Linked DNA regions of Lytechinus pictus. The protein of the gene in region 1 interacts with the protein of each later gene in a pairwise test. Links are inferred from orthologs where the notes say so. Each region holds a gene or a part of one and is shown in the gene's direction. Other genes may lie near its edges. The genes, in order: syntenin-1-like, synembryn-A-like and homeobox protein MOX-2-like.

Evidence for each region.
Region 2: the proteins of syntenin-1-like (region 1) and synembryn-A-like interact in binary tests that used the Homo sapiens proteins (3 or more experiments, as listed by UniProt). The link is inferred for Lytechinus pictus from reciprocal best matches to the Homo sapiens genes SDCBP and RIC8A.
Region 3: the proteins of syntenin-1-like (region 1) and homeobox protein MOX-2-like interact in a two-hybrid assay, tested with the Homo sapiens proteins (2 studies listed by BioGRID and IntAct). The link is inferred for Lytechinus pictus from reciprocal best matches to the Homo sapiens genes SDCBP and MEOX2.

The regions. Positions count from the first base shown.
Region 1 is NC_087261.1:15,771,792-15,782,767, reverse strand, and holds the start of syntenin-1-like, read left to right. Parts: upstream 1-5,498; 5' UTR 5,499-5,666; exon of another isoform or gene 5,667-6,215; intron 6,216-10,074; 5' UTR 10,075-10,122; coding exon 10,123-10,173; intron 10,174-10,696; coding exon 10,697-10,861; intron 10,862-10,976. UniProt on the Homo sapiens protein: Multifunctional adapter protein involved in diverse array of functions including trafficking of transmembrane proteins, neuro and immunomodulation, exosome biogenesis, and tumorigenesis.
Region 2 is NC_087253.1:23,114,482-23,125,795, forward strand, and holds the start of synembryn-A-like, read left to right. Parts: upstream 1-6,465; 5' UTR 6,466-6,875; intron 6,876-8,485; 5' UTR 8,486-8,584; coding exon 8,585-8,674; intron 8,675-11,314.
Region 3 is NC_087247.1:6,712,440-6,724,195, reverse strand, and holds the start of homeobox protein MOX-2-like, read left to right. Parts: upstream 1-6,346; 5' UTR 6,347-6,365; coding exon 6,366-6,786; intron 6,787-11,756. UniProt on the Homo sapiens protein: Mesodermal transcription factor that plays a key role in somitogenesis and somitogenesis and limb muscle differentiation. Required during limb development for normal appendicular muscle formation and for the normal regulation of myogenic genes.

The DNA.
Region 1 (10,976 bases):
ACTCTAATTGTGATTGATCTAGGTTTTTCATATTTTAAGTACATAATTTAAGATTAATTTCAGTTACAGTTTGATTTGGATCTATCACTCTTTGTAAGACAGGGAGCAGGGCCCTGTCTTACAAAGGGTTGCGATTGATCCGATCAATCTTAACCGTGGAAAGCCAGCAACGTCAGCATTTTATAAATGCATGTTTGTTTAAAATAATTTCTAGATATAATGTATATTCATAAATTCATTGTTTTCTTGACAATTTGGAGTTTTCCCCTTTGTTTACAAAGGACATTTTGCAAATTTCCTGTAGAAAAATTATGACAATGATGGATTTCCATAGAGATACAATTGATTGGATCAATTGTAACTCTTTGTAAGACGGACCAGGGCCCTGTCTTACAAAGGGTTGCAATTGATTCGATCAACCACAACTACGGTAAGCCAGCAATGCCAACATCTAAAATGCATGTTTGTTCAAAATGTTTTTCAGATATGATGTATGCTCATACATTCATTGTCTTGACAGTTTGATGTGCTCCTCTTTGTTTACAAGAGGACATTGAGCAAATTTCCTATAAGAAAAATTATGGATTTCCGTGTAGTTGAGGTTCGGTTGATCGGATAGATTGCTACTCTTTGTAAGAAGAGACCCAGGCCTACATCTCTAACTGTAATCGGGGGTGATGTCAGGATTTTTCTAATTGGGGGGAGGGGGGAAGACGGAATAAAAATGGCGTCATATTTTTTTCTCGGTTGAATTATCGGGTACAGTTTTATACATGTAGAGTTACGCTTCCTGTACCTCTCCTTTTAATACCCTTCTCCCTTCTTTCTTCCTGTTCTTCCTCCTCTTTTTTTCCTCTCCTTTTTTGTCACTTGTTTTCACTACTTGAAAACTTTGTGTTTGGTCGCCTCATCTGCCCCCCTCTCCTCCATGTTGCACAATCCTTGACTGAAACCAAAACTGTAAAGTTTCATCTACAAGGGCTATTATTATTCAACTCAGAGAAAGTTTACCTCTTGCATACTCAGACTATTAATAACAATGGTAATAAACATACATTTGTATAGTGCAGCCTTTATATGAATATATTATAATGTTTGATATCAAGAACATAAAAATACATAGTATTTAGGCCTGTAGCCAGGCTTTTCTATTAGAGGGTTCAATCACTTTTCTCTTCTTTTCTCCTTTTCCTCCCAATTATTCTTGCTTTTGAATTTTTTTGGGGGATTTATCGAACCCCCCTGCTACAGGCTTGGTGTTGTATATTTAAAACAATTATAATATTTATTGAATTATGTGTACATTTTTTGGCAATAACTTGTTTCCATAGAGGTGGTGGATATGACACCTTCAAGAGAAAGCTAGTGATTTGTTAATACCATTGACAGGTAACTTTACCAAAGTCAAATCTTTTAGAACCACCGGAATAAGCCAGTTCGTAGTTCCTTTCTGCGCATGATCAAAATATTCTACGCATGATCAGAGGAAGGTCATTTGTACTAAAGTGACATGGTGGTTTAAAATTTAATGAGATAAGCACCAACTTTGATGTCTTGATTATTCATATATTCTTTTGAATTGTGGTTTTCATTTACATCCAGAAAAAACAACAATGCGTCCACGAACGACTGGTATTTCACAGTTTGCCAAGTACATTGTGCAACATGCTATGATACGCATTCAAAGTAGGAATGCAACAAATACCTTCATAAAGTATTCATTGGTGTGCTATTCTAGTCACCTGGTCTATTCAATTTCTTCATCCTGCTATGTAAGGCAAGCTTACGTAATATCTTGCTTTAAAATCTGCCTATCATAATGAAAGAAATGAAAGGTCATTTGACCAAAATTGTCCATGAAGTACATGTAACTACGAACTGGTCTATTGTAACTCGGAAGAAGTATGAAAGATGATTATCTAGTCTAAATTATTGCTAAATCATCAGTGAAAGTCTCTTAAAGAAGGCTATTCTATAAAACAAGCATAAGGGAAGGGCATTTTAGGTGTGAACACCAGTGGACCAACATTCTTTCTAATATTAATATAAAGTATGTCTTTGTATTTGTGTCGGCTTCCATTTACCTTTCCCAGATGTTTTTGTGTATTTCAAATAATAACTTTATTTCAAATAAAGTCAGTTTGAGAATGATATTCTTCTATCTATTAAGTAAATTATATGTGATGTGTTTGTGTTGTCACTTCTAAAGTCTTTCAAAATGACATTTGTATGGTGATAAAGATATTGAATAGAAGTGTAATTGGATGTTTCATGAGAGAATACAATCATATAAAAACATACAATTTTGTAACTCCAATGGCTTATAAGGTCATATAATTATTAATTAGACTTTGTCAAATGTGCATTCTTAAAACAGTAAAGGTTATTCGTTAAAACATATAACAAAATTTGATGAATTAAAAGATAGTGGATTTGATGTCTCGAACATAGTGCAACATGAAATTTGAAGAATAAAACATTATTTGGAGTGCTCTATGTCCAAGTTAAGCGTTCTGTATGAAGCAGTCTATTTGCCATTGTCTAACTCTGTACAAATTAACCCAAACAAATATTCTCACTGGTTCTGGAAAATAAATGAGTGTTATTGTACCAGTACTCATTTTAACAATCATAATCATGTTTACATGTACACCTTTCCATGTTCCCAAATAGTGTTCTTTATGATAATATGTGAAATAATTGTTTGTGATTATGGTGTAAATGCTTGCTTTTTATTTTCATAGATCGATTATTGTTCTTAGAGAGTGAATATTTACTCAGACATCAATATAGATTTTCTTAAAAGTAGGTTGGATCCACATTTTAATGATTTTTTTCTTACAGTATATGGCTATATTGTACTTGCACAAAAAGTTACCTCACAAAAGGGGCTAGTTCCCCTTTTATGTGATTGTGATATCAGATTTTTTGTCTTTGTTTTTGTGTTTTGAACATGTGAGATGAACAATGAAAGCTCTTCAAAGTTCCATTTTCTTTTGTATTGTAGGATGGGGCAATCACATACCATGCAACGGGCCCCTGGGGCCCGTTGCAGAAAGAGTTGTAATCAATTGCAACTTGATTTTCAACCAATCAACAGCGCTCATTTGGGACTTGCGATTGATTTTTTGACTTGCGTTTAAACGCAACTCTTTCTGCAACGGACCCCAGGGCCCCGTCTTACAAAGAGTTACGATTGATCCAATCACCCGTAACTCTATGGAAATCCAACTGAGTCATAATTTTTTCTACAGGAAATTTGCAAAATTTGCAAAATGTCCTTTGCAAACACACCAAATTGTCAAGAAAACAATGAATATACATCATATCTAGAAAATGTTTTGAACAAACATGCATTTTAGACCCTGTTGCTGGATTTCCATAGTTGTGGTTGATTGGGTCAGTGGCAATTCTTTGTGAGACGGGGCCCAGTAGACATGTAGTGTAGGCCTGTGTGGGGCTGATGTTTTCATTTCAGTAAAGACTGAACTCGGTTGCTTTTGTAAGCAAAGTCAGAATCTCTTTTTGAAATGGTTGTTTGTTTTAGGAAAGACGGCATTATCTTGGATATAGGCATTGCTTTTTGGAGTCACTAGATATTGATATGTATTTATTTGAAAATGATCCCATACCCCTTACCGCATACATTCGTAATTCCGAAGCTTCGTTATTCCGAAGGTTCGGATATTCCGAAGGTTCGTTATTCCGAAGGCTCGTATTTCCGAAGGTTCGTAATTCCGAAGGTTCGTTAATCCGAAAACGAAATGAGGTTCGTAATTCCGAAGGTTCGTTAGTCCGAAAACTAATGATTAACGAACCTTATTTCGTTTTCGGACTAACGAACCTTCGGAACATCGAACCTGATTTCGTTTTTGGATTATCGAACCTTCGGAATAACGCCACAAATGTTCGGATTAACGAACCCTTTTACGTTTTCGGATTAACGAACATCGAGGTATATGCAATTTACGTGTTTCGGAATTACGAACCGTCGGAATAAAGAACCTTCGGAATTACGAAGTGTAACCACCCCTTACATCAATATATATATTGTCATTTTCATTACCATATTATGGGTAATATAATAAACTTGTGATGACAGATATTGTGTTTGGTGCTATTCATTTGATTTGATTTATTTATTTCCACATTCCAATAACAAAAGTATATACAAGTGTAATCATTTTTTCTTAGCATAACATAACAATAAGCAAATGACATAATGAATAACATATGCATATATACATTCTAATAATCTAACTGAAATAAATTTATACCTGGTAAATTTCTTTTTTAAAAAATTATTTAAACAAATAGCAGAAAAAAATTATATATATACTTATATCGACATAACACATTTTGAAATGTGGGAGACCTTCATCTTAAGCTTAGAGCTTGAAATTGATAAAGGCCTCATAATGGTGTATTATGTCTAAAACATGTGTGTACTTTCCATAAGAAATGTGGGAAAAGCTTTTTCATGGGGGGGGGGGGGGGGGGGGGGGCTCACACTCTGTCCAATTAACATGAACAAAAACATCAAAACTACAATTATTTGGATGTTTATATATAGCCCCCTTACATATGGCTCAACCCCCGGCCCCCACAATTAAAAAATAATGTCCAAAAGAACCTACGACTGATATGGTCTTGAAAATGTTGAAATGCAATAAAGAAAAATGATATTACACCTTCACTTAGTACTCCATAAATGTATGATAGATATGTAAGATAGGCCTACATGTATGACACTGAAAAAAAGAGGAACTTAATATTGTTGAATATTTTAACAAAAAAATTTAGATCCTAATTCATAGAGAAATATAGAAATGTACGTCTGTTAGAGGAACTGGCAATTTAACTGTTGAAGTGTTAATAAAGTAAAAATCATTTTACTTTTAAAACTTCAACACCAATTGTCTATATGGTTTTCAAGACATGCAAAATGAACTTATTTTTCTAAGGATCGGAATTCACATTGGAAGTTTGTGTGAATTTGAAAAAAAAGGCTGGTATATAATCTTTTTTTAAGGTGACCAGTCACCAGTGCCCATATCTTCCCCCTCTCAGTTGATTGTAGATAGTTCTAGCCCAGAGTTCAATTCAATTATTTTTTTTTCTATTCAATTATTTTATTTTATTTTCCACTTTCAATTTCATATTTACAATTATGATACAATTGACATAGTAACATATAATCACATTCGAAGTACATACAAAGTTGATAACATTATAAAATTACAATAGACAATTATCAAATCGAAATATAAATAATTGAAAGGGAGGGAGAGTTTTAGCTTTAGGAATCAGTTTGTACTATTGTAGCGGTTACAACGTTTGCTTTTCTATTCTTAGTGCTTAAAATTTACATGTATTATTAGGTTAAAATTCGACCCCACCCGCTTCTAAAATAAAAATCAGGACCCGTGATTTCAGACCTACATGTATTTTATTTGGGCAGCGATGAGAACTTCATTATTATCACAAATCCAAAAATAATAGTATGACATCATCACCATCATCATCATCAGCTGACCCTGACGTCATGAGCGCATTACAGGAAAAATATAAAGTGGATGCGATTTTGCAACTGACGATACAACAGAGCCGAATTTTTAGCAACAAGTTAAAAGTACTATTATTCCGCTTCAAGTTTGCCAAAAAGGGTAATTTTGTTTTCTTTTCCTGCCGACTAAATTATCTGAGCAAGTAGATTTGTTACAGCCGAATTATGAGCCTGAACTAGAGTCGGTCGCTGCTGGCCATAGCGCGGCGTTGAGTACGAGTGGCAGCTGGGTCACTTCCCCGGCCGCGCCGGCCAGGCGCGGGCTGGGGCACAGGCCTTGCAAAGGCTTTTGCCCAAGGCCTGGCTGGCTGGCTTGAGCCTTGACTTGAAAGTTGAATGACGGTGACTGAGTGATATTGCACTGTCTTCAGTCTTTACTTGTTTATATCACCACCAGGTTAGGGCCATGGGAACTCTGCAGCAGAGCCCAGGAGCTGGATCCAAGGCCGAGCACATTTGAACAATGTAATTGGTAATAAACAGATAAACGTGATTCGACTCTCGAGCTTAGGCTTAGCTGAAAGTGAAACGGATCCAGATTCAATCAGACAAAGGTCAAAGCAAAGCAAGCCGGCAAAGCTCTTGTCCCGGAATTAAAAAAAACAAAATGAGAAAAATATCACTCACATTTCGGTCTCTTCTGACACAGGTATGTGGATGCGTATCTTAATTCTTATGCATACATCATGTGCAGGATCAGGAATCGTGGGATTGCCTGTGTGTCTTTCCTTGCACAAAGCTCAAAAGAACATGAAAGAAGGGAATTCTTTCTGTTTTAATTCCCACATCAATATCTCGTGCGCTCGCATCAACACTACTAAAGTTAGTACTCGTACTACTAGCCTGTAGTGAGTTAGCCAATCAGCCATTCTACATGTAATGGATAGGGGTAAAGAGTCAATCTAATTTTGTTTTACTTTATATGTTGACGATTCCACAGTTCAGTTATTTAGATCATTGCATATTTTACTATTTTACTCTGAATATTTCATGTTTTATTGTTTTATTGATTTTTTAAATTTTTTTATAAATGTTTTATTGTTTTTAAATCTCACTGAATTTTACCTGCTACCATATACCATCTCTAAGTGATATGATTGGAACTGATATAGTTGGAACTGAGCTGAAGATAGCGGTTTGTTTTTGGTGAAGACTTGTTTATATGCCATTTTGACAAGAGTTACGACAAACTTTTGTACATACTATAATTATCCTTTTTCATATAAGAAGGATGCACAAATTTTTTTTTTCATATATGTATACATCATATTGGTAATAATATCATTATGTGAGAAGTGAGATTTTTTATTATTAATAGAGTCAATGGCGACAATAGTCAAATATGACTAATCGCCACTCAAACCAACATAAGAAGAAGAAGAAGATGTGATGTGGTGTGTACTAGCTTTGATGAACATGATCTCTTCCTTTTCTCCTTCTGGTTTTGCCTCCTTTTCTCTCTCTTGTCCATTCTCTCCACTTCCTTACACCTTCATGACTTCCATTTTCATTCCTCTAGTTTCCTTCTTTCATTTTACTCACCTACATGTACCACTTCATTCTTCTTTTTCTCTGGACACTGTCACTATTTTCTTTCTAAGATCACATAGATCTATTCTAGTTTACATATTTAAGTTTGTGTATCATTTAGAAAATGTTACGATACTTTGTATGAAAACTTTATATGTAACTTGCATGTTTGTAAAATTGATCACAATTCTTTTAATAATTCTATCTATCTGTGACAGAAAGAGGGGAGAGAGAGAGAGATGGAGAGAGGCAGGCCTTAATGACAAAGATGAGGACAATAGAGGGCTCGGGGGAGGGGGGAGGATGAGTGAATAGGGATGCTGGATGGAGACGAGGGAGCCGGGAGAGAGATTGCAAGAGTTAAACATGGCAAAGCTTGAAATGCATACAACGTTTTGGCAAAGAGAAGAAATACACTGAGATATTGAGGTCCAAATGATTTTTTTTTTGGGGGGGAGGGGGTCATCACACATCTAGTAGAGTAGAGTAAATAAGGCCACATTTTTCATAATTCCAGTTATGTCTTTGTAATACCATTCAGCTATCTTTGACTCACTATTACCTGTAAATATCTGAGAACAGTAGATTCGGTCCACTGAATCTAATTGTTCTCTTTTTTTATGGTGAGTCACAGATAGCTGACTGGTAGTGTACATAGTTATATATAGTTTTTTATTGTAGTAAATACACACCAAACAGCAATAAGACCATAAGAATCAACATTTATGGATTTAGCTAGAGGGATTAGATTAATTACTAATAGACTACCTGCTTCATAAGCAAGTGAATATTTGACTTAAAGGGATGCTCCAGGGAGTCCGGGCTTAGAATATTTATATCTAAATAAATAGAGTGAAATTCACAGAGCAAAATGCTGAAAATTTCATCAAAATCGGATAACAAATAACAAAGTTATTGAATTTTGAAGTTAAGCAATATTTTGTGAAAACAGCTACATGCACGTCGTCATGAATATTCATTAGGTGAGCTGATGATGTCACATCCCCACATTCCTTTTTCTTTAATATGTTATTACATGAAATCATGTGTAAATGATACTGTGTCTCCATAAGTTGCAGCAATAAATAACTAATAATGCACTTAATCAGTTGTCAGTCCAATTGTTTTAGTTCTCGGTATAAAGATTTTTGATAAACCTAATTTCATATAATAAAATACAAAGAACAAGTGGGGATATGACGTCATCAGCCCACCTAATGAATATTCATGAAGACAAGCCTAGAACTGTTTCACTGGAATAATGCAAATTTTTAAAATTCAATAACTTTGTTATTTCAGCATTGCTTTAAATTGCATCTTGATTTGAATTACCAATAAGTAATAATAGCTTGCAAATTATACAGTGATTTAAAACAAAATCCCAAATGAATTCCAGCCTGCTCTCCGTGCACAGGAACTTGGGTTTCATCACCATTGTACTCGTAATTAGGCATGCTGCACAAAATTTGTCATATTTTCTATCATAGTGGAGCGTTGTGGCCCAGTGGATTAGTCTCCGGACTTTGAAACAGAGGGTCGTGGGTTTGAATCCCAGCCATGGCGTAATTTCCTTTGGCAAGAAATTTATCCACAATGTGCTGCACTCGACCCAGGTGAGATGAATGGGTACCCGGTAGGAATTATTCCTTGAACGCTTTAGCACCTATTAATGTGGCTGCTCAGCTATAGCCGGGTTAATAATATGATACCAAGTATCAAAGCGCAGTTGAGTATGCACATATATGTAGTAACTGCGCTATATAAATCGTCTGTCATATTATTATGTGGTGATTTTATAAAATTTTGGTACCTCATGGGTGGGGGCTGGGGGGGTGCACCTGACCCTCATACATACATGTAGAGGCTGTTGCATAATATTTGAAATTTGGGAAAGGGGGTGGGGACCATCCCCCCTGATTTCTGCCCATGTTGGCTATTTTAGTGTGGCTATGTTGGTGTACGCATTGTGTGCATGCATGCGCACTTATGCCTGCAGCACGCATGACGACACTGAAATTACTGTATCATTGTATAATTTGTAATAATTTCAAAGAATATGGTTTATATCATGATCATGAGAAAAAATCAAGTTCTTTGGTCTAGCTACATTGCCTCTACATGTAGGTCATATTTGGCGCTGTACATGTATATCTCTGTTTTTAATCTAAGAATTTCATGCAGTGATATACAAATGTACTTGTAAAAATTACAATTCCATTACACCATATTGTATTGCGTAAAATGGCAAATCATTCATTTTGTTCTTTTTTCAAGTATCACATTCATAAAGCGGCTAAGATCCCATTACAAATTGCACTTGAGTGTGAATATTATGTTTTGTGCTGTGAACTATGATTCAAGAGTCCACTGATCCAATAACATTGTGTGGGTGTGTGTATCAAGACCGGTAGGATTTCCTCTTTCACTCAAATACCATTTCCTTCCAATGAAATCATGCATTATTGAATTCACTCTGTCATGCTGAATTACTGATTTTGTCTGCTAAGTACAGGAAGAAGATTATCAATTCATTCGTATGAATTAGCTTGTTTTTTGAAGAATAATAACCAATTACATAGTGGAAGTAGTCACTATTCTTGTTCTTTTTGTGTATATACACACCTTAATTCTCCTTGTACTCAAGGAATTCTATGAGAGACAGTGTACATTACATGAACCTGTATTTTGTACTCTCATTTTCCCTCATTTCCCCCTAAAATATGCTGCCTATCTGACAATATGACAACAGAGTTTTCTATTCATGTATGTATTTTACACTGTTCACGTTCTTGCGACAGTAGAGTTTTACTTTAAATAATACATTGAAATAAAAATTAAAGGAGAAAGTCACCCAAATACAATGACCAAGTACATATTTTTGATTCATGTACATGTAGACAGTGTAAAGGCTTGAATTTATTAATAAAATCTAATACATGTAGTTAGACATATTTTTTTCTTTATTTGTGTACATGTAGATTTCTGAATTTACCTTTGTGAGGAAGTAAAACTTGTCATCAATCATCATGTCTCTCTATCCATCATTGGAAGATATGAAAGTTGACCAAATGGCTCAGGTAAGTTTTAAGGGTAAGTTCGCCCTGATGAAAAGATTGTTGTAAAAATATTACATGTAACAGGAAAAATAATAAATTTGATATTGGTGAAGGTTTGAGGAAAATCCATCAATTGATCTTCTATCTGTCTATCTCTCCCCTCTTTTCTCTTTCCCTCTCTCATTGTGCTGCCTTTTATTTATTTTTGTACTTTCGTGTAGTAGGGTAATATGTTGTGAAGATACGACAGGTTGTTTTTTAAGTTATTCATTATTGCAACAATTCAGAATTGCTGCTACAATGTAGCATGATATTACTTATGACCTGGAACGCTATTTTATCTTTTTTTTCTCTAGATTTTTAAAAACATTTTTTTTCAGTAAAGCAATAACCATAGCTGTTTGTATTATAATCAATGTTAAGAATACTGTTATAATACTCATTTTTAATTTGACTACTATTGTTATTTTTATCATTATTATCATTACTATTACTATTATTATTATTATTATAAATGATAATTATTCTACCTTGATGTATCTAGGCCCAGGTCAACTTCAATCAACAGGCACAGGCTGCGGCCCATGCCATCGCCAGTGCCCCTGCCGGGTCTACTGTTGTCATGACAACAAGCTCACTCTACCCCTCCCTGGAGGAGTGGATGGGTTTTCCTCCCGCTGAGATGCAGGCCTATGCTCAGCAGTCATCGGTAAGTACATGCAATTTGTATGGATACACTACAGTCAGACCAACGACATAGACTCCCAACCAACCAAACGTATGTCATTGGAAATAATGTACAAGATTTGGTCTGGTTGTGGTCG
Region 2 (11,314 bases), on another chromosome or scaffold:
CGAGAATTACGAAAATTCAACGGGAAATTGTACTTACCACTGACTTTCCAGGCAAGTTTGACTGACAAAAGTCTTCGGTTCGGACGGCTCAGTGATCGTAGATGGTGACGTATGTATTCATGTAGAGATTTGTGTACATATTATACCCATAGGGTGAATTACTTTAGAAATTAGAGTAGATTCATTCACCCCTTGCATTTGCTCATGCACCCGGCTCCAGCCGGCGATCACAGCATATCGGCGGCAAAATGCGCCATGCAAAAAGAGCGCCGTTTGTGCGCAGCGCCCTCAACCGTTCGTGGTTGTAGCTATCTATGGGGGTCCGTTTCTCAACACCTGGACAAGTGGAATTAACGACAACAAAGTCAAAAGACGACACGACAACGTCATGAAAAAATCTGCAATGGCGTCAATGGCAATGCCAATGAAAAAGTTCAAAAACATATCGATCCAGGACCAGGACCAAGCATAATTTAACTTAATTTTAAGAACATAGAATTTATTAGAAAAAGACAAATTTCTGTAGATGTATGTTGCATAAACTTGACTGAGTTGACTCAACTTCTCACGTCGTCAACAGCAACACAGCCCAGACAGGGTGCTCGCAGACTGCAAATAGGAGGTACACTCCTATTTACCAGGACGCGCATTTTCCTTCTCACACAAATTAAATTTGCCACATCACGACTCCTTGATAAATGTATTCTCATTGCACACTGAATAAATCGCTCACGATCACCCTTCTTCTTGCGATCAGACATTTCACAAACACTAAAATATCACCCGGCCCAGCAAACGATAATTACCAAGATATTCCACAGATTGACAATAAAACAGCCGAACATGAAAAGGAGAAGCTTATAGAGTTCATTTATCAATAAATTTTACACTGAGGTAGTTAAATTACTGTTTACCTTTTATTTTAGACGATGATTCTCCAGCAAAAACGCAAAGTCGTCATCGTGGATCATGCCCCGGATTCTGACCCGGACGATTCCGCATACGGTAATATCCGGATTTTACAAATCCGATACATCGACGCGACGTCATGAAAGCCCATTTATTAGCATTAGAGCATGGACCTGTCAGGGGCCGGGGTGTAAACTGTAATGGAGGGAGGGGGGGGGGGGGCTCGTCTTTGAAATGGCCCTGGGTATGGGGTTGTTTTGAAAGCAGCGTTAACATTGCCTCACTTTTTCTATATGATAATAATTTTCTATAAGACAGTACTTAAAAATTTGTTTAGTAGCCACTTGGACCTTGCGTGGTCGATCGATCGATCCACGCAGTATAGTTAGTTGGAAGAACAATATCGTAATAAATGCAAAGCATAATTCTGGAATCGATTTCAATTTGGGTAAGAAAACAACTAATTTAATGCTTTTAAAATCAAAAGAAATATACGAACAGCTGTTGAATAAAAGTGACATTAAACCCTCTATTTTCGACAAAATTAGAACGAATTATGATCTTACCAATAAGGAAGTAGAAAGTATATTTTTAAGACTAAGATATTGCACACTGAATAGTCGATTAAGGGAGTTTCAGTATAAACTCTTGCATAATATTATATACACTAACCACCACCTTTTCCGTTTTGGTCTTGTTTCGACCAATTTATGCTCATTTTGTGAAAATGAAGAAGAAACGTATAAACATCTATTTTATACTTGTGAATTTTCAAAATCACTTTGGGATATGTGTGCAAGAAGTTTAAATTTTGAAATGAATAAATTTAGTTGGCAGGAAATTCTTTTCGGGAAGCAGGAGAAAAGTAAAGGTAAATATCAATTAATTAATCATGTTTTGATTTTAGCTAAAGGTCAAGTCCATCCCAGAAAAATAAAGATTCGAATAAATATAAAAAAATCAAACTAGCATAACGCTGAAAATTTCATCAACATTGGATGTTAAATAAGAAAGTTATGACCTTTTAAAGTTTCGTTTATTTTTCACAAAACAGTGATATGCACAACTCAGTGACATGCAAATTAGACAGTCGATGATGTCCCTCACTCACTATTTCTTTTGTTTTTTATTGTTTGAATTAGACAATATTTCATTTTTTACAGATTTGACAATAAGGACCAACTTGACTGAACCATATAATATTAAACAATGCTAATCCCACACGTTCAGAGAAAATTAGTCTTTGTTTCACTTGACAATGGGGAGAAAATTAGAATATTTCATATTTCACATAATAAAATACAAAAGAAATAGTGAGTGGATGATGTCATCAGTCTCCTCATTTGCATACCGACCAGGATGTGCATATAACTATTTTGTGAAATTAAGCGAAACTTTAAAATCTCATAACTTTTCAGTGTTATGTTTGTCGGATTTTTCTCTTTTTATTCAAATCAACTTTTTATTGGGGTGGACTTGTCCTTTAAATATCTTATTTACAAAAACCGAGAATTAAAAAAACCTCCTTCATTGATTGAAATAAAAAATAGTATTAGGGGGGATCAAAGAGAAGAAAAGAATTTAGCAACAAAGAGGGGGACTCTTACAATCCATTTCTCTAAATGGAAAAACTTAATTACTAGACCATTTATTGGAGCCCGAGCCAGCTCTCCACCGGATAGGGGATGGGGGTGTTTTGGGGAGGGTCGGGGGAGGGGGGTAGGGTCCAGGGCTGAGTTTGTTGTTGAGATTTATTTTATTTGAGTGAAGAGGCTGAGGCAATGGGTTTTTTAAAAAAAATATGCTGATGGCTTCAATTCGTTTTATTTATTAATGATTTATTTTTGTGTATTTGACACTGAAAATTCAATATGTTGAATTTATTGTAGAAGTTTATTCTTAATGCATATTATTATTATCAATGTTATTTATAATTATGTTTTAGAAGATGTGTGACATGATTGTGTTTTATTGTAACATTCAAGAAAAAAAATGATGTTAAATTTATAAGTTGTCAAGGTATTTATCAATTTTGTAAAGACATCAAACTTCTATTTGTTATATATATTTTATTTTGTATATGAATTGAAGTTGTCAATAAAAACTACTTAATACAAAAAAAGTATATAACGTTAGGGGGAGCAGAAAGGGGACACTCTTGTAACTTGTAAAATAATCAGCCAATCAGCAATCCGGTTACATCAGTAAAAAGGTGTGCCTAGGCATAGCTCCAAACGGATATATCAGCTACTCTATAGCTCTACAGGTAAGTTATAAACGAGTTTCTTTTTATATACCCCTTTTTCTTTTTCATCGTTAATTGCATGTGAGTAAAATATCAAGTATATCACATCGATCTGGTAGGACCTTTATTATGCTATTTAGTAACTGAATAAGTGTGCAAACTTCTGAAGATAATTGTTTGATAAACGACAGTTTAGAAACAGTGACTGCCATTTTTATTTTTTATTACTGAATAAGAGGGAGAAATGGGACACACTGTTCCATTTCCCCAGTTCATGTAAGTTCTACTACAAATTCCATCACTGTGAAATAGACATCCTCATCTTCATCTTTATTGCACACTATGCCTAGGATGTTAATTCTTTGTTTTAATTAAGTGCCCTTTTCAAAAGAGGAAGTTCCCCACCCCCTCAAATTTACACGTATATACCTCATGGGATAGGATTATGTGTAGGAAAAAATATTGAATGTTTTCATAATGTGACTTGTTCATTTCTGCTGTGTGATACTCACATGTTATGTCAGAATTTTTTTTTTCATTGTTTTACAAATAATTATGTTTTTTCAAGGAGGGAAAATGTCAGTCTGATTTGCCGCTTTGTGTCGACGAGCCAGAAAAGCTCACAACATTTTGTCATTTTATACTCACAGAATTTTGTTTGAATAAAATTGAGCTCTTAAAGGATTGTGTAAAGAGTGTTAATACGATCCAGATTCAAATTCAAATTCAATTCGGTTTTATTAAGCAATACTCATCAAAAAGTCCGAGGACTAACAATGTGAGTTTACATTTTTTAAAATACATAACAAAGAAATAAATAAATACATAACATGCAGTGACCATTAAAGAAGAAAAAAATATACATTATGTTTAGAATGCAATAATAGTATAAAAAGAAATAGAATGAGGAGTTGCATGTAATAAGACAGATTTAATTTGTATATATAAAAAAGCAGGTGAGGAGCAAGAAAGGGGAGCAAGAATGGCAAGAGTGAGCATGTGAAAAGGTGAGAGTAGAGAGTGGTGTAGCAAAAGATAAAGAGGGAAAAAAGGAATGAAGGAGGAAAACAAGAAAGACCCACAAGTAAACAATAAATTGCAGATTAAAAAATATAAGAATTATGTGTAAAAAAAAAAAAAAAAAAAAAAAAAAAAATGACATGATGGCAATCATAATAGACGAGAGAGTGGGAAAGAGCAACAAGGAGATAGAGAGAGAAGGAGGGAGAAAGACAGAAAGAGAGAAATAGAAAAGTCAGACAGAAACTGAAAGGACATCATATCTAATCATAAGTTAACTAAGTAAACAAGATATACATATATAGAAGGAAAAAAAAGGTAAGCATCAATAGTGAAAACTGGTCAGACACCAAATAAAAAGGAGAAATACAAAAATATAACATTAATGATTTGCAATACTGATTTACAATACAACGTTGTCCATAGTGAATGAAGCAATTGGGAGTTTGATGCATTGATGAAAGGAAAACCATAGAAAAGGAGAAAGAGGCAAGAGAGTAAAAAGACAGAGAAAGAGATAAAAAGGAGAAAAAAGGGGGAGAGAGAGACAGGAAAAGAAAAAGTACATCGCATCCAGTTAGGGAATATTGCAAAACAGGTACATGCAATGTTAAAATGCAATCATAAAACTTATACATGTGACTGTGAGAGATAACTGTTTTTTTTAAATTACAGGCACGTCTCATAGCAAATTTACATTTAATATTCAAGGAAACAGTGGCGGACCGTGACCCGGAGGAGACAAAGCGTTGGAGGGGCACAGCCACTAGCGTACCTACGGGGGGGGGGGGGGGCAGGGGGGCACTCTGCCCCCCCTGACGAGTCACAACCCATGCAAAAACGTATCTTTGCCCCCCCTGACGGACTTGAAAAACCTTTTTTGCCCCCCCTGACGAGCTTTAAGACCTTTAATGCCCCCTGACGAGCTTGAAGACCTTTTTTTTTTTTTTTTTTTTTTTTTTTTTTTTTTTTTTTTGCTTGTCAATTTTTTTCTGGAACGAAATCCTTTATTTATGATCGAAGACCTTTTTTTTTTTTTTTTTTTTTTGGCGGACGGTTTTGCCCCCCCCCTGTGGAAAATCCTAGGTACGCCACTGGGCACAGCATATTGTTCACTTACAATACAGTGCCCCTCCCATGCTTTGTCTCCTCGGGTCACGGTCCGCCACTGCAAGGAAACAATGATTTTATGAGAGAATATTGTTATCATATTTTATTTATCATATCATATTTTGACTTGCTCTTATTGTTGAGTGTTCTTGCATGCAACAGTTGTTTTAGTGTTGTTTGTGTTCTTCAAAACGGTGTTTACAACGTTTGACCAATTGTATGCTCATTAATTGCAGAAGTGCAATCTTCAAATGAAAAAAGAGAGGGGGGAAATGAAAGAAAAGTTTGGAAATGAATCAGTGCGGTAGAAATTCAGCTCATATAATAATCAAATTGGTTGAATTTTCATATTAGTAATAAATTTACCAATGTTAAAATGTTAATTTAGTTGTCATATAAGAAAATGTTAAGAATAAATGTAGATCATCTATTAGATGATATCTTTAATAGACCAGACTAACCCTACCTGTTACTATATTAAAAAGGAACTTTCAGGAAGAAACTGAGGAGAGAATGGTGTATGCAATTCATTATAGAGGGAAAACTTTAAAATGTTCTGCGACTATGTTTTTTTTTCCTCAACCAACTAACTGTTAGAGTTTGTAAAGGGCCTTCTGTCACAAAATCATCCCTTTTTGTCTTATATCTTCGTTCAAAATTGTTTGTTATATCATCAATCTCCGAAGTGCGTTTACTGATTATTTTGTGGTCGTCCCATTTCACCCCCATTTTATGTCCAATTTGACCACCTCTTGATGTGCACCCCCCCCCCCCCCCCCCCCCCAATCCGAGGTCGGAAGGACCGCATGCGTGTTCCCAAAATGTCCGGTAAAGGGCCCTTTTTCCCGGGACAAGTCCGGCCCGCGAATTGTAAAAAAGGGGATGTTTTTGTATTTTCACCGGAGATTTCTTCAAAAAGGGGGTGTTTTTTTTTATCTCTCTGACTCTCTCTTTGGAACCCTGAGAAATTTTAAAGGGGGTTAAACGGTTGTAAAATATCTTGAATATCATAGAAAATTTGATCAAATCCCGGGATCAAATTCTGAAATTCCTGCTAGTTTTGAAGGCTCATTCAGGATTATTTCATTTTGAAAAAGTAAAGTACGAACCTTTTGTTGGAATGAGAGCTCACCTGAGATAGGGGGTACATTGAGCAGTGTTCTGGATTTAGGGGGGTCTCCACAGCAGAAAAGGCCATGCAGCGAAAAGCCCTCGAACTGAGGCCGGGTTCAGAAATTTTGGCCGACCTTCGATAGGGGGGTGCTTTCAAAGGGAGGGAACTAGCATAGGCGTACCCTAAATAACACTGAGGGGGGGGGGGGGGGGGGATTGCACCCCGGGCCCGGGGTGTCCCATGTTACCCCCAAAATCAAGTGTTTCAAAAATCATTAATTACACAAAATAGAACTAGATAAGGGATGTCAATACAAACTATATTGTGTGATGCAAAATCAGAACAGTCGATCGACATGAAATTTCTTTGATGTTGATCCTGTTGACGAGCCATCTATTTTTCCGTTGTGCCTGATGAGCTGTTAGTGAGATCAGTGTCTTTCAAATACCCCAAATTAGATGTTCAGAACAGCGTGAGGTAAGTTTAGTTGAGAAATAATGAAACTGATAATGCCAACAAGGCAATCATGTCCCCCCAAAAGGCAAAATGGTCGAGAATCGACTGCACGCAAACCCGCGGCTCAACCATCGATGTCTTGTGGTAGATCTACCTGGCCCGGCACTCGGGGGTGACTCGCGTCACGTCGGCGGTGTTAGGCCGGTAGGCTACCGGCGCGGCCCGTAATCGTAATGGAATGCGGGATATTATCATGTTGTTAAACTTGTACATGCAATATGGCAGTGCTATTGTGTTCGTCCACAACGAATCATCTATTAATTTGAGTATTATTTAAAATTATTGTCATGACTCATGATTGTCTTGATTCGAATTGCACAGCACAGGATCAGGACGGACAGAAACTGAATCGCCAGGTAGCTCTAGCCTCTATTAATTTTATCATTTTTATCAATGGATGATGATTGTGTTGATGACGAAGTCGAAGATGATGATTGACAATTGTATTGATGTCGGTGTTTTGGTCTTGGACTTGGTGGTGGTGATGATGATGAGGAGGATGACGATGATGATGATGATGATGATGCTGATGGGATGGGGATGATGATGAGGATGATGATGATGATGGTGGTGCAGTGTAGCCAGGCGGCTTCTTGAGAGTAAAAATCATTTACTAACGTAGGCTTACTCTAAACGAAGCCAGGGAGTCCTCCCTATTCATCTGCGTGTACCGCAAAAAACCCTGAAACTTTCGCCCCCGAGATTTCTACTTTCCTTCTAAAAGATCTAGCTCTAAATCATGTACATGGGATAAAACTTCATTTCCCACATTTCTACGCTCTCGTTGTTATTTTTAAACAAGAATTCATCAAAAAAAATGAAAAAATATTGTCAAAAGACGGAAGAGACTTGCCCGATGTTTACGCCGCCATCTTGTTTCTTATTGTACTTCCCCAACGTTACGCGACGCTCGCGTCCGTAACGTTGGGGAAGTCAGCCATTGTTATGACTGTAGGCTCAAACATTGATAGATGGCGCTGTCTGTATCGAGGCCTCGCACTATCTAGTGAGACATGTTTTGTTTTTTTCCTGGAAAAAAAGGAGTGAACGTGATGAAATGGTTGCGCTGCTCCCCGATTTACTGGAAAATTATCCTGTCTAGTTCTTTTGGTGATTTGGGTAAGATATTTTCATAAAAAATAATGTGGTTGTAGGTAGACTATATTGGAAATGTATATACGGTAATCAAAGTGAGTTTGCATAGGAATTTTGAGTTTAAATTGAAATCTCATTTCCCCGTGTACTAGATTGAAAAAAAAATCTTGGCAAGTGTCTGTCTGGATAATAGATCCGAATAAGGGGAGGCCGGATAAGAAAGGTGAGACTGTATTACCTTATTTACTAGAAAAGTGCAGAGATCGTCAACCAATTTTTCAGTATTATGTACATACACAGGTAAAGAACACTTTCTTATTGTATTTTTTTCAAAGTTCCAGATTAAAAGCAGATTCGAAAAAGTGCATGCACAGTGATTGCATTCGGCCATAAGGAAGAGACATGCACATTTCATATGTGTTCACAGCACAAACTCTCATCATGTTTTCTTTCTATTTTGTTTTCCACTTCCATAGTGAACAGATTTGAAGAAGTGCAAGTTCTGGTTACATCTCAAGAGGTACAAAGTACATTGTATTTCCAAGGCAAGTTCGTCATATGAACAGCGTCCCAAGATGAACACGCTACTGGTGTCGGCTGTGCCGGCCTTTGAATCTGGGAACGAGACTGAAATCTGTAACAAACTGCAGGAATTCACAAAAGAGGTAAACAAATAATCACCTGCTATAACCTCTGATTCCCCTCAATATAGTATGCTTGTACAATGTCTCTTATTTCCCTCAATACTGTCCCAAAGGAATAAAAGCCAAGCAACAAATTATTAAGAAATAGGCCGATTGTCGATAATTATGCTTCTTATATAACCCTATGGCCCGTATTCTGGAGTCAGGTTTATAGACCATGGTCTAACTCTGTGCTAAAATTATGGGGAACCAAACATTTCAAAAATTCTGTCTATATTATATATTTCTTGTTTTCTTTTTTGTTTTCCTTTTGCTTTCATAATGAAGAAATATACTTCAGTTATCATTCCAAGACAATTATGAACAATTTGGGTGTCATGTGAGTTAATAAAATGAATGTGTACTGTAAAGGAATTTGTGCACAATTGGCTCTCCATAGTTAAACCACAACTTTAAACCAGGGTTTAATTTAAACCTGAGTTCAGAATACGGGCCTATTTTATCTATCCATGGTTTTCCAATGTACCTTTTCCTGATTAAAGATAAATACCAGTTTTGGTAACGATCTCAAAATGAATTCGAACAGAAATCCAATAAAATTACCACCCAAGTGTGTATGTATGAATACAAAATATGTGCCAAGTGGCTCTGGAAGAAAATGAGTAATTGCTGAGAAATGAGCAAAATAAGCATGAAATTCCATCAAATGTCGGGTGTTTTTCCAAGTAATATTAATATCACTGTCCCGCATTTGCTTAGTGATCACAGGGGTGTGGGAGATCAGATTTTTATCTGATTTCAGATGATTTTTTTTTTTTTTAAGCTTAATTTTCAGCTTATTTTTGGCCTTCCTCTGTACAAAAAGTATGGAAGCTCTTTCTATTTCAGACTTTTTCAACACTCTTCACTTCCTTTTTTCAGATCTTTTTATTTGTGACCACTCATACCCCTGTGACCATTATAATGATTGATTTTGAGCTAATATTTCAGGATTTTCACAAAGATAAGTTTACATTAATGTTCAAGATCTAGATATATGATAATATGGTGACAAGCAGTGTTGAAATTACTTTTTATTTTTAGGGAGCCATTTTGAAAAATAAAGGAGAGCCATTTTCAGTTTTCGAGAGCCATTTTTAAGAGTGATTCAGCACATGGTTTCGCATCGCAGTTTTTCCTGCTTGTTTACAAATTTATATAATGTTAAACATTGTTTATTTAATTGCTATTTATTTTTTCTTCATTGTTATTAATTGTTGAATTATTATTTTCTTTATTGTTGTCCATTTGCATGTAGATCTAATGTTTATTGTTTGTGTCTCATTACTTCTCGTATATTAAATTAAATGGACGTTTCAACTTCTTTTTTAATATCCCATTTTGTCCATCAAATTGAAAAGGATGAAGTTTATAACATTTGAACAGAATTTGTATTCAGAGGAATCCTTTTCATGAATACTCTTTAACTAAAACTCACTTGAAAATTATTTTATGAAATATTGAATGCATCACAGCCTGACAGCTAATGTCACCATGTCAACTATTTCTCAAGCTAGGCTAGGCTATGCCTACGCTAACGCAGCTCAGCCACTGAACATAGCACAGCTCTCAGTCAATCACCACCGCAACACACAGCTCACAGTCAATCATCACCGCAACACAGGCGGGTATGAAACTGCATTAGCGCCAATACATGTATACACTCGGGCACTGAATGTTACTCACCAAAAATCCCCACAGAAAATCCTAATTTCGGTCTGAAAATTGTGGGATCTGCGCCAAATTTCCAGAGCACCAAGTGGCTTAGTTCAGATTTGAGAAGTGGGGTTTCCGAAAGTTACTCTAAAATAAAATATGTGATTTTCTTCAGAGTTCACTATCTTATTTTTTTGCAAATTTAGGATGGTATCTTACAAAATTAATCCAATAGAAAAGGAAAATTTTTGCTATCAAAGTTACGGCGAGACCTGGTGCCGCGCAGCGTTTTGAAAAATAGTACTAGGGATATCGAGAGTTTGAAATTTGATACGCGTTTTTTCTGAAGCGCCGCGCCCGTGATTTTAAAAATCCACTCAGTTACACGTCAGAATGCGACGATGCATGAAAGCAAAAACTGCGGCTGTGCTAGCCTGGCTCAGACTACTACTACAGTAATATGCAGTTGTAAATGGGAGACTGGATGGGCGCAGATGGGAGCGATTTTCATGTTGGGAGTCGCTCAGTACTTGGCAGTTTTAGGCAGTTACGAGAGCGATTCCAAAGCACACGAGGGCCGAATTGCTCGTCGCTCCCGTGTATTTTCAACCCTGGTGACAAGTAACCCTGATTTTAAAGAGTTTCACCTGAAATAGTTGTTTGCTGCAACTACTATCCTTTACATTTAAATGCAGATAATCTTTTATCAGTTCTTTAAATTTCTTTGAGAATGATATGCAGTTCTTGTATAGAGCAAAATGTCTGCATTAGCTTCCAAAGGACTTGGATATCATAACCGGAATTAGCATGACAGTTGTTGTTTACATCATACAAGCATGTCAAAGATTAAATTCTTGGGTGGAATGCAGCATAATGTGGATTAATTTCTTTTTTAAAGGAAATAACGCCATGGTTTGCATTGAACCCACGATCCTCTGTTGTTTCAAAGTCTCAAGCATAATCCAC
Region 3 (11,756 bases), on another chromosome or scaffold:
CAGTGTATATCATGCATCGACGCCGCTTTCGTGAAAGATTGGAATAATTTCAAGTGAAAGTGCAATTCTGTATGCCCAATTATTGTTAAATCAACGGGAGAGGTTACACTGCCCCTTACCCATCCCCTCCCCTCCCTCCCCATCCCGTTCAATTCGACAGGATTCAGGAGTATCGAAGCTCGCTCGCCAAGAAGCTCCTATCCATCTCGTCGCATCCATCCATCCAGCTCCTCTTCATGACGGAGCGGGATGAAACCGAAGATGATGCGCTCTTGGCATTGGGGAGGGTAGGAAAATACCCCGATGATCGGGGCTCGCTGTTGGGAAAACATCAAATTGTTACAATCCAAACAGAGCACGCGCTCGGTCGACCTGATGGGTGCTTTCCAATCTCTCATCGCTTTACTTATATCATGTTTTGTTTGCAAGCCTCTATATCACTCGGAGAGAAAAGAAAGGGATGGGGGTATATATCATGCGCAATCAGCTCGGGCTTACACAGACATTTCGTTGGCGATTATCTTTGTTCGTCTGTATTTTCATGTAATAGATAAAATACCAAGGTGGTGCGTCACAATCTTCATGATGTTTAGTGAAGAATTATTATTTACCTCGAGTTACCTGATGTTGGGCATAAGGTATATAGAACACTTATTACCCCATCTGTATCTCATATGAACTTGTCAAATAATAATGATAACCAATTTTGGTATAATTTCATGTCCCCGCCTAACTGTATTATGATTATATAGGCCTATGTTAGATGCACAATTACTTCTATATTATATACTTGTCGTTTTCATGGTTTTAGTAAAATGCGCAAAAGGCATAAACGTCAAACGGCCATTATAATAGCAGATATTCCATCCATCCATCAGCCTTTCTATCTATCTATCTATCTATCTATCTATCTATCTATCTATCTATCTATCTATCTATCTATCTATCTATCTATCTATCTACCTACCTACCTAGCTATCTATCTATCCATCTATTTATCTATATGTCTGTCTGTCTGTCTCTATCTATCTATCTATTTATCTATCTATCTAGTCTTTCTATTTAGGAAGGCTAACCAAATATGTGAGTGTCCGATCGATACAATTTTTTTTGTCAAAATCAACAAACTTATTGATTAGTTAGTGTCTACCAAAATCTTTGGTTTATATTGACCATTACTTTGACTAATTCTCTTTAATATTCTATAATTATATATAAATTATTTATAGGCCTATACATTTCCATTCATCTACCTATCCATATCAATCATCATGAATTACGAAAAAGTTGGAAACAATATTGATATGCAGATTAAGAATTTCCAGGAAATCGAAGGATTCCACCTCCAACAACGTGGACGGTTTTTGTTCGAGAGGTCAAAGTGTTAACGCAGTTTTTCCTCTTGATAACCGGTATGAAATAATATTGTTTAAGAGATGCTCCACTTGGGATTGTTAATCATAGGAGCTCAAGCAAGGAAACATTAGAAAGAACAAGCGATTTCCTCAGCGTCTCGGGCTAAACTACCACAGGAACTAAACGCGTATTGACCTTGGTTTTTAATAAACTTTGATTAAAATTTGGTAAAAGTAGGAAATATATAGCTTTGATGCTTTGGTTTGTTTCCGTATATGACCGGACGAAATCTGTATGAGATAAGGTTCATATCTAAATATATATTTTTCTTTTCGTGAGAATATTTTCTTCTTAAAGGAAAAAGTCTATAGTATTATTATTATGATAAGTCATTTCGAACCATTTCTCAGTAGATTAAAACTTTATTTTTTAAGTCATTATGAGTCAATAAATGTTGAAATTCTGCTTGAACTAAATGCATGAAAGAAAATATCATATCTTATTTTACATCATAATTGCCTCAGACGTTAAAAATAGTCCATATGATTTTCTCGGGAGGGGGTGTTATCGATAGGATAATCATCTATCTGTTTCCTCAGCATATGTATTATGAAAAAACGTCATTGTACGACAATTTTCTATTTCAATCTTTATTATTACGAATCGATATAGAAATGCCTATCTTACTCTACTTATTTCTGATTTTTATATATCTTGTGCATCATCCTTCACATTACTTCCCCGACATTCCATTTGGATTATAATATTTCGAATGACTATTATTACACGACTTGTCCGACATCGCATCGCTGATATCACGTGCACACGTGGCTTAATTAAGAGCATCACTTACTCATATTTGCTGACTGAAGTGAAATGATGGAGACAAAAATAAGCCGCGGGGATAGGATGTTCAGAAAACCATGACGAAATTCAAATCTTATTTACATGTGAAGGACATAGTGGCCGTATGCCTGTGTTGCTCATAGTGTAGTAGGATGGTATTTTAACGTATAATCCTTCACAGTCATGGTCTTCATACATACACTTACGAGTTCATTGGATTAGCATGATTAATAATAACAAGCAACATTTTTTTTATATAGCGCTTAAAGGGATATTCCATGCTGAAGTATAATTTAAACAGATAAAGAAAAATCAGACAAACAAAACACTGAAAATTTGATCGAAATCGGACAAGGAATAACGAAATTATGTCATTTCAAAGTTTTTCATTTTCCAGTGAAACAGTTCTAGGCATGTCTTCATGAATATTCAATGAGCAAATTGATGATGTCATATCCCATCTTGTTCTTTTATTTTAGTCATCATCATTAGCACATAATTGTTCTCTTGGAGCTCCGAAATAGAACATGGAAGGCAGACCACATTTCAATTTGATTTCAGTCTTTTAGATTACGCACGAAATATTTCTATAATAATTGTTTGGCTTGCCATAGCTCTTGGTTTGATCCCGATTTTTTATAGTTAAAAGAACAATGGTAAATATCGCCGTTCACCTTGCATACACACACTGACTTTACCGCCGCCCCCCCCCCCCCTCCCCCCTCCATCCCCATTTTCGTCCACCCATGCAGTTTGAAAACAATATATCTGTTTTATCATGACGACTTTGGATGAGGCGGAGCGCGAGGTTTGTGAGAGAGGAGAAAGATCTTGGGAGTGATTCATGAGGCGAATAGTCCGAGATATTCACTGACCATTGTTATAAGCTACGGATATCCTTGCATCTGACTGGCTCATTGCAAATTTGTCAGTGACAATAGTGACAATTCACTGATTATTTGCTTCATGAAACTGCTCCCCTGAAGACGGACGGGCAACAGATGGATGGATGACTGGATGATCCGGTCGATTGGGAGTGCATGAGGCCGGGAATGAGAGATGAAGAGAGAGAAAGATGGAGAGAGAGAGAGAAGGAAGAGGTGAACAGAGAAGAAGAAGAACGTATAGAAGAAGCAATGGTGGTAATAAGAAATACAAGAATACGGTGATGGTGGTTGTAGTGATGGTGGTGGTAGTGGTGGTGGTGGTGGTGGTGGTGGTGATGATGATGATGATGATAATGATGATGATGATAGTGATGATGATGATGAAGAAGAAGAAGAAGATGAAGAGGAAAAAAGAAGGAGGAGGAGAAGAAGAAGAAGAATAAAAAGAAAAAGAGGAGGAAGAAGAAGAAGAAAATTAAGAATAAGAGGAAGAAGAAGAAGAAAAAGAACAAGACGGTGGAGGAGGAGGAAAAGGGTGAGGAAAGTGAGAGACAGAGAAATTTCAGTAGGATTGAGAAAGGACAAACGGAAAGATAGAGGTCGATTATTTAATATCGGAAGAAGGAAGAAAGAGAGAGGGGGAGAGGTTGGGAATAGAACAGGAGTAAAGTGAAGGGGGTATTCAGAAAGGATGGTGGGTGAGAGAGAGAGGGAGAGATGAAGACAGGATGATCTGTGATGAAAGGTGAGCAGGTGAATACCCATCTCCTCCTCGGCTGTGATTCACTGGTGACGAATATCGCTTTGGATGGCGATACAAATTTGTTTCCAGGCATCGGGTTGCCTGACGAACCCGACCGCCTGCGTGGCTTGCTTTCTACTGCAGATGTGTTTCAAACGCAGGTTATGTCAGCCAAACCATAGCAGGATCCATGGCCAAACCACGGACCGAACCTACAACAAACCAAGAAGAAAAATTCTTTTAGTAGGATATATACAGTGAATTTGGCACGTTGCTAGGTCGGTCGTAGTACGAAACTAAAATGGATGCGAGGGTTTGGATCTTCACCAAGGGGTACAACTTTGCTCCCCTTGTAAGGACCCCATTGCTAGGTCGGTATATACAAAACTCATACATTAAAGAACCTTTTATATTATACCTTTTCCTGTCCATTGGCAAATGACACCAGTCAAGGACAAGTCCTCCCCAACATTGGTATGCAAATGAGGAGACTGATGACGTCATCCACTCACTATTTCTTTCGTCTTTTATCATATGAAATATGAAAATTTAATATTCCAATTTCCCCTCATTGTCATGTGAAACAAAGTTTCATTCCTCTCAGAACATGTGGAATTACCATTGTTAAAACATTTTATGGTGCTGTCAAGTTGATCCTCATTGTCAAATCTGTAAAAAAATGAAATATTCTATTATTCAAAAAAAAAAAAGAAATAGTGAGTGACGGACATCATCGTCTGTCTCATTTGCATGTCACTGAGTTCTGCATATCACTGTTTTGTGAAAAATAAGCGTAACTTTAAAAAGTCATAACTTTCTTACTTTACATCTGATTTTGATGAAATTTTCAGCGTTATGCTAGTTTGATTTTCTCTATTCAAATCAACATTTTTCTGGGTTGGACTTGACCTTTATATTATGTTGAATAATGCAGCTACCTGCAGTGACTGTCCTGCACCCATAGATAAAAGTGCAAACATGTTCCCTAGTTTCAGTTCCAGTGTTTGAAAGGTGCTCTCTCTTTCACTCTTTTAAATTTTATGTAACATATTTGGGTCAAGTACTACTTTAATATGAATGAAAACATACATGAATTCTTGTTGAATAAGGACATTTCTTTATAATTATTGAACCAGCTTAAATACAACAGGTACATGTCAATACTACACATACATGTATGTCATGCGACAGCTAGGTATTATATCGACTTTTATTTGATAAAAAATTACATTGCACGGTATCCTATACCCTTTTTACACACGCTATAGGTGGGGCTAAATTGCCATTTAGCCCCACCTATAGTACGGGGTTAAGCTTAGCCCACTTTCTTTTTACACAGCATTTTTGCAAAGTGGGCTAACCCCACCTTTAGTACGGGATTATTTGGCCCTGCAAAAAAGCAGGGTTATCCCAGCAATTGCGGTGCTAAGAGCGATAGTACGGGGTTAAGATCGCTAGTGAAAACGAAAGTGGGCTAAGCTTAACCCCGTACTATAGGTGGGGCTAAATGGCAATGATTAGTATATTATATATATATATATATATATTGTTTTTTGCATTAAGTCTTATTTATTGAAGGAAACCTTCAATAACAAGCTTTGCTTTCCAGAAGGTTCCTATTTCATTTCAAAATGTTATATTATATTTTGCTTTACTTTGTAACTTTGTTGAAATTTTGGAATGAATAAATTCGTTGTCAATCAATCAATAGTACGGGGTTAAGGACATTTTAGCGTGTGTAAAAAGGTACGAGTGAATGAGCTACCACTAGTCCGGGGTTAGCGAGTTTCGTGTGTGAAAAGCAAGCATTCCTTATCCGGGGTTAGCAATAACAATTTGGCATGTGTGAAAAGGAAAAAAAAATAGTACGGGGTTAAGGATAGTACGGGGTTAGCGATAGTCCGGGGCTAAGAAAATCCTGTGTAAAAAGGGTACTATATGACCGCGTTTATAATATTTGATATAAAATAATATTGCACGGCATCCTATATGACCGCGTAATATATTGATGACTATTACACGATACTTCAAGCTATAGTATAGACCTACGCTATGACATCGTGATGTGAGATATCCCCTTTGTGTATAATGATACTCGGTGTCATCTGCATACTTGTCAATCATTATTTTTCTCATATTGCATGGTAAGAAGTGTGATATGGAACGCGGCGAGTCTTTATCTTCTCAACACTTAAAACTCGACCCATTTCTCTTCTCTACAACTACCATCCCCTTCACCCATAGAACATGGTTGAATTCGATTTATGGTTCGATACAACTTACAAGGGAGTTAACCAATAACTGTTATTTTTGTCAAAGGACTCGAAGTTAAGTTTGCATTTCCCTTTTTTTTATTAAAAAGTTATTTGATTGGTTGATTCATTTCATATACGCGTTTATTCTTTCATTCCATTACTTGATGTTTCATAATACATTTATCTTACTTTGAATGTATTAAAAAGATATTAATTCGTGTTTATTTTTTCACTTGTTTCCTAATTGTCCATTCGCAGAGATCGCTGGGCGGATCAGGCATGTCACTACCAAGCATGCCCTACCATCACTCGGCCACATCAGGGGGTGTACATCACCCCCATCACCAAGCACCCTCCCACCACACCCAATTCCAGGACTGGAGCTCGGCCGCTTCGGCAGCAGGGTCACGTGGTCTCCACTCCGGGGGCGTGGCCCCTCACACACCGACTTACCGCATCTACCCCCCTGCGGCGCACCACACTCCGACACACTCCGATTACATCTCCCCACACGACTTGGACCTCATCAAGTCATCGGGGACCGGCATCGGTGGCGGCGGCGGTGGGGGAGGAGGAGGAGGATCGCCCCCTGTGACCGCGTCCAGTCCGCCAATCGTGTCGCCCACGGCACTGGGGCACCACCAGCAAACGACAAACTGTGCGGATGATCTCACGATAAAAGGCAGCCCAGATAGTAATGGTAGGTTTTAGTTCTTCTGGTCGATTACATATAGGCCTACAATTTCCTATATTAGAAAATTGCCTTGGAAAATTACCCTCTCGAAAATGATATCTATGGGGACAGTTATAGAGTGGGGTGTCGAACAGATAGTAACTATAAGTAAAATGTATGCATAGAGCTATAGCTCTATGATGGATGCATATAAATTGCCTGAAAATGAATTAAATGATGATTTTCAGATTGTTTTCAAGTTCTTATCATCTTGAAATTGATTGACAGCATGCATATCTATTCTACAGGGATGTTGTTTTCTACACGTCGTAATGATCATTGTCTCCATGTTGTTCAGTTGCGTGCAATTAGTAACCTCATGGGACATTCTCATTCTAACGAGTTGTAAATCAGTATCCCAACAAAATATAGGCCATTAGAATCCCGTGACTTGTGTTTTAATTGAGCGATATAACGTTTAGGAGCGACCACGAATCCCTATGGCTATGACATTTTACATACTATGATTTTAAAGGAAAAAAAACGACAAAAGCAAATAACCCTAAGGAGACAAAGAATAAACAGAAAAAACTCTCTCTTTCGGGCCCAATTAATATATCTTGATTATTTTCAGATCAGCGAATTATATTGATCTACGTCAGATAACAGAAAAAACCGAGAATTTTCCAGTGTTTTATCTGCCAGAAGAATAAGCGGGGGTGGAGGATTATTAGAGCTTATGTTTGGAATAATGAATTATATAATCTTTCTGACTTCAACGAACGTTTCATGAAATTTTACGATATGTGATTAAGATCCAATCCTCCTATTACGATTTTATTATCCAAACAAAATCTGCCCTTGATATACCCACGTACAACATGAATCTTGGTAAAATTTTCAGGACCACCTGTTCCTCTACTAAGTGAATGCGGAAAGGAAGTCGGAACATGGTAGTAAAAATATATCTTAAAAAAAACAGCTCTCAGTGGAGATCGTGTAATCTCTAAAGTTCCAATTCCCGCGAGATCTGACAAGACCGTCTCTGATTGGTCAGATATTACATCACTAGCTGCGCACAAGGGTTTAAAGTAGCGCACCTGTCATCTCGTGTCAAGATTATGAAATTACACGTCGTAAAGTCTGTTCCACAGCGATAAAACATCCACCGATAAGTGCATCAGATTTAAGCATAAAAATGATCAATTTCGCTGAGAACTGTTTATAGTAAGCACATTTGGTTACGTTGGTAGTTGGTGTTACTCTTTTATTGATAAAATACCCCAAATCATCTGCAAGTTAACTCAAATTTCGAATGCTCAACATAATTATTGTTGATAATAAATTTATGATTGTATTTCAATTTTATATAACGAACCCTCAATTGAAATCAGAACCGTATCTCGGTTTTATAGGCCCAACTATATGGAAACGTCGCATATATTATAAACACAACGATTAAACATTATTAATTAATTTAGACTATTTTGCAATAAAATCCTTCTTACACTTTGTTTTCATTTTAAGATAGATTGAACTTTCTAATCCGTGTTTTGTGGACTGTCGATGTGGCTTAAAATATTCCCTACTCCGCCCACGAAATAGGATTTGGAAATAAAGAAAATAAGTTTAGAATGAAAGAGAGAGGGGGTGAGAAGGGGGCTGGGGCGATGTGAGGGAGAGAAAAAAAAGAAACCGGATTGGCAAAAAAGCCCCAAACTTCTCCAATTGCCAACAGAAGTTTCAATTTCACCCGTGGTTATCGGGCCGAGATAAATCATCAGACATTTCATCATAATAATGGAAATGATATGAAATTAAAGTGAAGGGAAAAGGAGATGGAGATGAAAAATGAGTTGTCCAGCTCAGTGTCACAGTCAATAGTCGTTGGATATGAAGAAATATAGCCCAGACTATGAACCGTAGCCAAGGGTTACGATCCGAGAACATACCGGAGCAAATTTTTAACGAGTCCCTCAACGATTTGGGTTAAAGCACCTATAGCATAATATTAATATCCTTTCTGAGAAATCTTGCCTTCCCTGTAGTATAAAACACTGCGTGAATGGAGTAGAAATCAATGAAATATGGTTTTTAAAATAATGAACATAATGTTGAAATGGAGGGAGACAAATTAAATTAATGGGCTATGAACTAATGGTTTTTTTTTAGATTTGGATTTATTGATGTCGTCAGCTCCATTTGATGAGCTAAAATCATGACAATCAAATCCGACTTATTGAAATCTATTTATTTTGAATGATATTAAAGTGATCACAATAGTAAGGGCATACTCAGAGCATGCTTTGACATGCTGGATGTTTTTTTTTTTTTTGCTTTCAGTATATCCGTGGAACTACTCAGAGTAGTAGGTCCATGGTATATTGGATCCTTTAACTTCTGGCTGGAGATGTGCCCTTAGTTTTGTCGTCAGTCATAACTCATCCCATTCGACCTGAACGATACCGACCCTCTGCACCCGTTAATCATAAATGCTATCCCAGCCCCCCCCCCCCCTCCTCCACCCATCCTCTTCCATATTTTTCCCCTCATCTCAATCCCCAATTCGGTCAGAGAATAATTGGGGCGCATTCCCCTCTGATTTTCTATTACCTGGATTTCTGACATCTTATTTCCATGTTTTTGCGTTCATTTCTTTCCAAAGGAGACGACACGATGTTAGATTAATGACGTTGAGAGGGAATAGTTTATCATGAGATGTATAAATCAGAAATAGCGAGGGGAAGTCGTATGTGATGACAGCCTGTGAGGAGCATTGAACGTGCTCTGGTGTTCATAAACCATCCGTATCTATGGACTTGATCTGATTGTAATTCATCACGAAAGTCAAAACAACCGAGTACATTAATTGAAATACTATAGTAAAACATAGCTTTTTTTCAATTTAAACTGACTGTTTTCGTGACGAAGATTTGGTTAGGGGCGAGTATGGGGCTTTGCCGCTTTTCACGACTTGCTTGTAGTCAATCTGCTTTGTCAGTTCTATTCTTTGTATTATGATTTCGATTTTAATAATCCACCGCCATGGTGTTATACCAGATGAACCCCCTCCCCTAAAGGACTGAAGACTCCAATCGAAATTACATAGAACATTAAACATCCGATCTTCGTTTGTTGACAGTGGTTTTGAATGTAGGGGGTTTCTTGTTTGTCTTACTGTTTATGATAGTGGTTGGAGTCGAAACTAAACCTCGAAACCATTATTACAACTTTTGACCGTGACTAAAATAAAACTCATGATGTGGACGCGGTCCCATATGATTTTAAAAATCAGACAAGCATCGACCCCTATATGGTCGACGTTTAAATCATTAGGAATATTTACGACTCGCGGATGGACGGACTAGCGGTTGACCACTACACGAACCTAAGCAGAAAATTGCTTATGATGGTATACAGGGTCAGCAAATTATAAATACCCGGTAGTGCAAAAGTGCCCTTCACATCATCAAGGGTATAGGTCCTAAAAATTTCATTCGGTCGCTTAGGACGCTTTGTTCCCTCGCACAATGGAGGTGCTCACACTCAAACCTCTCCCCATTTGAAGTGAAATGTCGGACTGAAATGCTTATCTATTACACCATGTTCGGCAGTTTGGGTCAAATGCATTTTACTTATGAAAACTTATTTATTAATTTTCTAAAATAATTCTCTGTTGTAAATTGAAATTTTAAGTTTATTGGTAAAAAAAAGAACCCAAGGCAAATACTTTCTTGACCGCGACATGTTCGCACACAAGAACTTTAATTCTCTTGGATGTATTTGTATACTGTGTTTGGGGGTTTCAAATACCAAATTAAATTTGATTTTTAAAATCAGAATTTCCTTTTGCTTGTTACATGTTTCGCTCCCTCGACCTTCCCCTCATAACTGTAATTAATGTAACGACTTATTTATTGTATGGATTTTTTTTCTCCATTACTCGAGCTCATCCCATACTACATAGGAGCCAGCTATATGCATGGGGCGTGGGCATAATAGGACTGTGCTTGCACAATAATACCGCTCAGACCTGCTGGTTGAAACCTAGAATTAAAAGCAGATGATGATTTCAAGGATGTTATCGATGACGGACAACTAATCATGTCCAAATAATGTTATACGGATGACCCACCGACCCGTGACGATGCACGGAGAATGTTCTGCCTCCATGGTCATCGCGCTGACCATCATCCATCCCGTCATCATGCTCGGGTTGATTGATGTATTGCGTAAGAAGACCGTGCATTATTTCGACATCATTATAACATCGTGTTGACATCAACTGCGCGTTCAGCCGTGCCGGCGATGTCCATCAAGCGAAGCGGACCGAACGGCGCGTGTCCCAGTCCGACCACGGTATGATGCATGTACACGCCATCGTGACCGTGTTGAAAAGTAACCAAACATCGTCAATGGTAAATTCTCCGTTTGAGACAATACAGGTATTACGCTTACAAGAACGTTGGACAATGAGTAGCCAATATAATGCATTTTGAATGGAGTTACTATATCGAGCATGATTCCAAAGATAAAATAACGATAATGTAATAGCAACAATAATAATGATGATGATGATGATGATAATGATACTTCTACTACTACTACTTACTACTACTAGTACTATACTACTACTACTATGACTTCTACTACTACTACTACTACTATACTACTACTACTACTACTACTACTACTACTACTACTACTACTACTACTACTACTACTACTACTACTATAATACTACTACTACTACTACTACTACTACTACTACTACTACTACTACTACTACTACTACTACTAATACTACTATTACTACTATTACTACTACTACTACTAATACTACTACTAATAATACTACTAATAATAATATTAACAATAATAATAATGAAGATACTATTATTATTCCACTTGTAACAAAGCACGTTATAAAACTATACATCAAAATAATACTAATGATATTATTTTTATCAATCATGATGATGATTAACATCAAATAA